Macaca fascicularis: one gene and its partner. The protein of the gene in region 2 interacts with the protein of the main gene of each other region in a biochemical or structural test. Links are inferred from orthologs where the notes say so. Each region holds a gene or a part of one and is shown on either strand. Other genes may lie near its edges. The genes, in order: TNFSF8 and TNFRSF8.

Region 1 (3,814 bases), on a different chromosome or scaffold from region 2:
AACAAGGTTTAAAGGGAAAGCATGGAAGCAATTAAAACTAGCATGCCAGCTTCCCGGCCCTGAAAGTCACCCTTACCAGTCAGTGCTAATTTTCATGTGTTAGGACTTGGAGACTCACCCTCCAACACAAACTTGTCAGTTTAGAGGGTCTGCTAATTCTCTGCTTTTCAATAAATCCCAGATGGCAAGAGCCCCTTAATAGGCACATGGGGGACCTACACGATTATTTTTGGCTGCTCTTTGAAGGAAAGAAGGCATTCAAAAATTCAGACAATGAACCATTAGAGGATACATCTTAATGTGAAAATTCATGGCGATTCTCCTGGAAATCTTCATACCTAAATTAGTTATTAACTGAATCATATTATTGAATGTCTTACCTTGCACTTTCTACAATGCCTATCAAACTCAATATTATTGAATTTCCTATCTCTGATACCTTCTGCAATGCCCATTCATGATAAATGAACAGGATAGTTCCGACTTTGTGGAGAACAGAGTCCAGGAGCTTATATTCTGAAAAGGGAAAGATCATCATCATCATCATAGAATAGTATAATATGATAATGATTCCATGGAAAACCATTCTATAGGAGGTAGAAGTAAAGTATCATGTGTGTTCTGACCCTCCAGCTTTGAGTGTTGAAGAAAAGGAAGTGGGGTGGTTTTATACCTGTGCCTTGAGTAGTAAGTAGACTCTAGAGGGAGTAACATGGAAGATATTCAGATGATTGGAACATTACAGAAAACATGGGTCTTGAATGGGAAACTTTGAATAAAGACTTAGAGTTTTGCAATGCATACCTACAATCTTCTCAATAATTCTGTTTTCTGTACTTCTCTTTCTAGTGGCAAAGCATCTAAACAAAACCAAATTGTCTTGGAACAAAGATGGCATTCTCCATGGAGTCAGATATCAGGATGGGAATCTGGTGATCCAGTTCCCTGGTTTGTACTTCATCATTTGCCAACTGCAGTTTCTCGTACAATGCCCAAATAATTCTGTCGATCTGAAGTTGGAGCTTCTCATCAACAAGCATATCAAAAAACAGGCCCTGGTGACAGTGTGTGAGTCTGGAATGCAAACCAAACACGTGTACCAGAATCTCTCTCAATTCTTGCTGGATTACCTGCAGGTCAACACCACCGTATCAGTCAATGTGGATACATTCCAGTACATAGATACAAGCACTTTTCCTCTTGAGAATGTGTTGTCCGTGTTCTTATACAGTAATTCAGACTGAACAGTTTCTCTTGGCCTTCAGGAAGAAAGCGCCTCTCTACCATACAGTATTTCATCCCTCCAAACACTTGGGCAAAAAGAAAACTTTAGACCAAGACAAACTGCACAGGGTATTAAATAGTATACCTTGCCTTCTGTCTCTTGGAAAGATATAGCTCCAGGGTTAAAAAGAGAGTTCTGAGTGAAGTATCTTTCAGATAGCAGGCAGGGAAGCAATGTAGTGTGGTGGGCAGAGCCCCACATGGGAATCAGAAGGGATGAATGGATGTCCCAGCCCAACCACTAATTCACTGTATGGTCTTGATCTATTTCTTCTGTTTTGAGAGCCTCCAGATAAAATGGGGCTCCAGTATCAGAGCAGCTAGCAACTCTGCCCTAATGGGAAATGAAGGGGAGCTGGGTGTGAGTGTTTACACTGTGCCCTTCATGGGATACTTCTTTTATCTGCAGATGGCCTAATGCTTAGTTGTCCACGTTGCGATCAAGGACTCTTTCACACAGGAAACTTCCCTATACTGGCAGATACCCTTGTGACTGAACCATGCCCAGTTTATGCCTATCTGACTATCACTTTGGGACTGGGAAGCTGACCTTGTGCTCCACATGACCCTGCCCCTAGGAACCCCCAGGGAAAACCAGGCCTGGGACAGCCCCCCATTCCTGAGATGGAAAGCACAAATTTAATACACCATCACAATGGAAAACAAGTTTGAAGACTTTTACTTACAGATCCTGGACAGAAAGGGCATAATGAGTCTGAAGGGCAGTCCTCCTTCTCTGGGTTACATGAGACAGGAATGAGAAGTCAGAGAGAGAGAGCAAGGGAGTTACCAATGTAGGTAAATAAATAGGGTGTGGTCACTCTCAATTCACTGGCAAATGCCTGAATGGTCTGAAGGAAGTAACAGAAAAGTGGGGAATCCAGTCTGCTAGGGAGGAGAGATGCCTCTAGTTCTTGTCTTGGCTAGAGGTCTGGTATAGAACTGGAAACCCATATCAAGGGTGACTAAGCCCAGCTTCTGGTATGAGAAAATTAAACTTGTATACAAAATGGTTGCCAAGGCAACAAAAATTATAAGAATTCACTATACCTTCCCCTCCCTGGAACTCAGGATCCAAGTCTAGAAAATGAAAGGAATGGGTTTGAATTGCTTCAAAACCTCTTCCATCTCAGAAGAGCAGCCCCTGGGAACTGAGATTCTGACACAATTTTGGAAGCTCTTCAACCAAGATAAGGCCACCCTACCCCAGTATACAATTGAAGACACTAGTAGCACCTGACTGCATCTCATCTCAGCAAAGCCAGAATATGGGAACAAAGTTCAGGGTGCCCTGCTGAATGGTGTCAACAGCAGGATCTCAAGGATGTAATGGAAAGAACTACCATGCTGACCATCCAGAATCTAAGAGACCATCTGGGTGTTTGGGAAACCATCTGACGAGGCCTGACTCTATTCCAGTTAGGCTGACAATAATTGAGCAGCAGGCATTTTTCATTTCTGGTCAGGATAGCGTTGTGCCTTTAGCAAACAATCAGTGTGCAACAGCCGGGGAATGGCTGCTGCATCTCCTGCAGATTATATTCCTGCTTCAAACACCTCTCAGAAAACCAGTTCCGTGAGGGTTTTTAAATCCCCACAAAGTTGTTGACAGATAATGATGACCCTGGAATTGGGGAGGAGGACTTCTGAGAAACAGCAACCTCTCTCCTGATTGGGGTAGCCATGAGATTTCTCCAGCTATATCCAACTTGGCATCTGTACATCATCTTTGGAGGAACATCTTATTCATGGAAGGACCTTGACAAGCCGTTTGAGATGGAATGTAGGCCCTGAGGTTATGCTTCAGTAAAAAAAAGATGGAAGCTTCCCTGCTATACTAAAACATGGAGCAAAATTCGCATTTTTCTCAAGAAGGAGAGAAAAGGAGTAGGACTCCAGCAAAGTTTGTCAGAAGAAAAGCTAGAAAAGATTTACAAGAAAGAAAGAAAGAACAAATCAGCAGCGGTGTTATGGATGAGAGGGACTTGAGAGAACAAAAATGGCTAAGGGAAAAATTTAAGTCATCTGCTGAGCAGTGTGCTATGTCAACCTCCTCCTAGGTCTCCTCTTTGAAATATTCAGTAAAGTCTACATTTCTCTTTAACTCTTTCTGTGAGTAGATTCTTTGGGAGAAGCAGGCATTGGAAGAGGTGTTGAATTCAGCAAGCCAAGTGGTCTGTGGTAAAAAACAGACATTGAGACTCAAAGCTAAGAAAAACAGGGAAACGGCTGGCATTTGAGTTACACACTAACTGCGTAGGACAAGTGAATCTTGCTTAAACAACTCATGCATTCTTGAAAAGGTATATGCAACCCAACTGTGTGTTAACGAAGCAAATTTTCTGCCATCTCACATTCTAACTCGAGAAAGATTGCATTTTCATTTTTCACCAACTGTTCTCTAAGCAGAGGTCTCTGACTTTTGCACTGTGAGCAGTTTCTAATCGCAGTCTCTGTCAAGCAATGCTTAGAAAGCCAACACCTAAAGACACAAGGGGTACATCATTTAAATGAATAATGTAACCAAACA
Region 2 (3,814 bases):
GAATGATCCATTCCCAAATGTCAATGGTGCCAAGGGTGAAAAATTGTTTTACAAATATCTCAACAACCACAATAAAATCCCCGTCCTCCTGCTCACCCAGCGTGTGGCCTTAAATTACTTCATCATCCTGTGCCTCAGGCTGCTAATCTGTGCAACGGGGATAACAGTAGGTACCTCACAGGCCACTGGAGGAGTAGATGAGATCACGTGTGCGCTCTGCAAATGCCTGTCACCGAGGACACACGCGGGAAGGTCAGATCAACTCGAGGGCTGGTTGGCAAGTATCTCATCGCACCTGCACGCACCACAGATCCCTGATGCGCTCACTGCTCAAAGGAACCAGGAGCACCCTCTGCCCCAGGTCTGGGATGTGGGAGGCCAAGGGGCACACGCTCCCATCCTGCCTGCCTTTGGCCTCTGCAGGCAGTTGGAATTAGTCTAAAAGCTTGGAGGGAGCTAGGACAGCTTCTGGGCCCGGCACAGAGCCTGCACGGAGGAAGTGCACAGTGAAGACCATGTGAATAGATGAACGAATGAACCAATGAACCAGTTCTCCTTCCCTCCTTCGCCACCCACGGCTCGGGAGGGAAATGGGCATACAGCCAGCTCGGTCCGTTCTCACCCTGTGCCCTGTGAGCTTGCCTGTCTCGGCTTCACTTTCTGTCCATCTTGGGCCTGGGAACCCAGACCCCAAGGGCCCACCAGAAGAAGCCAGAGGGTCAAAAATGAGATAGGACGTCCACCATCGAGTCTCGGGGCTCAGTTCTTTGCAGATCTGGCTTCTTAGGGGAAGGTGTTTTCTTTCTTTTTTTCTTCTTGTAACAAAACTGCTCTCACAGAGGTTTGAAGAAAAAAAATAAACTGACGGCAATGGAAATTCTAATACTAGAAAAATGTCAAGAAAGCAAATGCCGGTTTCAATGAGACACGCAGCCTGACAGGTCATGGAAACAGGCTTGAAACTATCAAAACACAAAAACCCCCCCTGGCACAGGGACCACAAGCGCTCGCTTGTGAAACTCATCAAATTCAAAACATGCCTCAGTGGACTGTGTTTTTGTGCCCAAGTCAAGAGTCAGCCTACGCAAGGGCCTCTCCAAGGGTCCTGGGGAGATCGGGGGACGGGCCAGGACCTGGTCTTACGCTGAGCACGTGGCTCTTGGGTGGGCATTCGGGTGGTGGACAGAGCTGGCGGGGGGAAGGAAGAGGGGACAGGGCTGAGCCCTTTACAAACCAAAACCCCTAGGACCGGTGCCTGAGGCTGGCTGTGCCACTGCCAGGCTGTGTAGCCCTGGGCCAGCCGTCCACCTCGCTGAGCCCCGTCTCCTCCTTGCAGAACAAAGGTCATCACTGGGGGAGTGCAGGAGGCCTCTATGGGAGCCCACCTTGCAAATCAGAAAGGAAGGCTCAGACAATTCCCCCATCAGAGCCCAGCACTCAATCCATGCCATGCGGTGCTGAGGAAGACCCTGGCCTGCCTGGAAGGGGCTGCCCAGGAGAGAGAAGGTGCTCGGCACAAGATGGCTAGGAGCCCACTGCTCCAGGTGAGAGCTGGAAGACACATGCTGTCTAGATGCCCCCGCCTGGACAGGTGAGGAGGGTCCCAGCTCCCAAGGGCTGCCTGGAAGAGCTGGCCCGGAGGCTGGGCAGGGATCAGAGTGCAGGGACCAGGGAGGGGGGTCAGAAGCACCCAGGACTCCAGAAGGCCTGAAGCTTCCAGGGAGGAAAAAGCCCCAGACACAGGCCGGCCTGTCAACAGGCAGCAGCCGCCGACCGCAGGCAGGTACTCCACGATGCGCTTCACAGCCCGGCCTTGATGAATGCACAGGCCAAACCTCTGAAGTAGGTTCTACCATCACATTTTCCAGATGAGGAAACTGAGACACAGAGCAATTCAGTAACTCACGCGGGGTCACACAGCTTGTAAGTGGCAGAACCAGGGTCCCTCCTGCCACATGTGCTCCTTTCCCCTCCTGCCCCTGGGCTGATCACCAGCTGGTAGAAGAGGGGGAGAGAGGGGAAAGAGAAAGGGAAGGAGGGAGAGGGAGAAAGGGAGGGTAGAATGTAGAGAGGAAGGGAAGGCTGGCGGGAATACCCCCTGGGGATACTGGAGGAAAAAGTGAAAGACAAGATAGACTTTTAAACGTTCATGCCAGCATCCATCCAGGTGCTGCTCTGGGCAAGCCACGCAGTCCTCACACCCAGTCCAGTCTTCACCTCATTGCATTCTCCACACGCATGAGTTTCACCCGCATTACATCCCTACAGATGTACAGAATGCCACAGCAGCCACAGACAGGGAGCCTCGAGGCTGGGCTAGAAGTTCAGTCTCTGGAGCCCACGCCCCGGGCCTAGAGCTGCCCTGTGTTCCTCTGGCTCGGGCAGCCCCTTTGGACAGCTGGACACTCACCCACAAGCTCTAGCTTGGGCCGCGAGGTCTGGACCGGGTAGCACAGGTGGAGCTCTGAAACGACACCAAGAGGAAGGCTGGGGATGGTGGCCACAGAGGGCAGGAGCAGGCAGGGAAAGGACCCAGGCCAGGCTGGCAGAGAGCAACCTGTCCTCCCCAAGGCCCCAAGGACACAGCCACTTACTCTGGCGAATTCGCTTCCTGCAGGCCCTCCGGTGGCACAGGAGGAAGGTGCTGGAGCCGACCACCACAGCCAGCACCAGGATCACCCAGAAGAGCACTGGCCCTGGAACACAGAGGCACCCCGCACTCTTTGCCTCACTGCAACCACACAGGACAGCCCCAGCCCCAGACTACTTCCTCCTTCTCCTGGGACACAGCTTCCATCATGGCTAACAACACCGCGTCCTTTCCAAGCCAAGGCTGTATCTCATCCAGCCCTCCCTCACCTGGCTCCAGGAAGCTGATTAACTATTTAAGGCTGAGATAAGGGCAAACTGTGTCTAGAGGGTGAGAAATGGAGGCGTCTAGGAGCCAGAACAAAGGAATTGAGGTCCAACAGACCAAAACTTGGGGACTGTGGAGGAGGCCCCGGTGTGACCAGCATCTGGCAGCACTGTTGGTGTGGCCGGAGTCAGGGTGGGGAGGGCCAAGCAGTGAGGGGAAGGAAGGGGTTGAACCCAGTCCCCTCCCAGCCAACCCTCTAGACCCACTTGATGAGGGCAGGCATGGAGTCCTCTCTGCACATAAACACGCCCCACAAGCATTCCCTGAATGAATGATCCCCAACCCTAGGCCCTAGGCACCATCACTACCTTCAGTTTAAAAATGAGGGGAGCCAAGGCTCACGAAAGTTCGTTAACCTGTCCAAGGTCACCCTGAGAGTAAGTGGTAGAGCCCCAGCCCAGGCCATGCCAGGCCGGGTGGACTCCAGGACCCACGCTCTTAACCCCTATCTGGATCCACTTCTTTACACCATGGTACTGAACTCGCTTCCTTTTCCCCTTTTGTCCCTTACAGAGGTCATAGAGCTAGTGATTGCACTTTATTGAAGTCCATGTTCAGATGTTAAAAAAGTAGTATATGCCAGTTAAGTGCTTCTCAAATGTTAATGTGCGTATGAGTGCCCCGGAGATCTTGTTAAAGTGCAGTTTCTGATTCTCTAGGTCTGGGATGGAACCCACAATTTGCTTTCCTAACAAGTTCCCAGCTGGTGCCAATGTTGCCAGACAGGACCGTATTTTCAGAAACACTGGCCTGAGCACTACTGCCACCTCGTGTCAGCCACTAGAACTGCAAGTCCTAAAATGAGTAGCCTGGCATCATTCCATAAGCGCTAACTCTTGGGGTTTTTTGTTTTTTGTTTTTTGGTTTTTGGTTTTTTGAGACGGATTCTCAGTCTGT

What was found.
Region 1: the proteins of TNFRSF8 (region 2) and TNFSF8 form a complex in vitro, tested with the Homo sapiens proteins (2 studies listed by BioGRID and IntAct). The link is inferred for Macaca fascicularis from reciprocal best matches to the Homo sapiens genes TNFRSF8 and TNFSF8.

Annotation. Positions count from the first base shown.
Region 1 is NC_088389.1:43,181,808-43,185,621, forward strand, and holds part of TNFSF8 (tumor necrosis factor ligand superfamily member 8), read left to right. Parts: intron 1-849; coding exon 850-1,244; 3' UTR 1,245-3,814.
Region 2 is NC_088375.1:222,668,018-222,671,831, forward strand, and holds part of TNFRSF8 (tumor necrosis factor receptor superfamily member 8), read right to left. Parts: intron 2,697-3,814; coding exon 2,595-2,696; intron 2,465-2,594; coding exon 2,411-2,464; intron 1-2,410. UniProt on the Homo sapiens protein: Receptor for TNFSF8/CD30L. May play a role in the regulation of cellular growth and transformation of activated lymphoblasts. Regulates gene expression through activation of NF-kappa-B.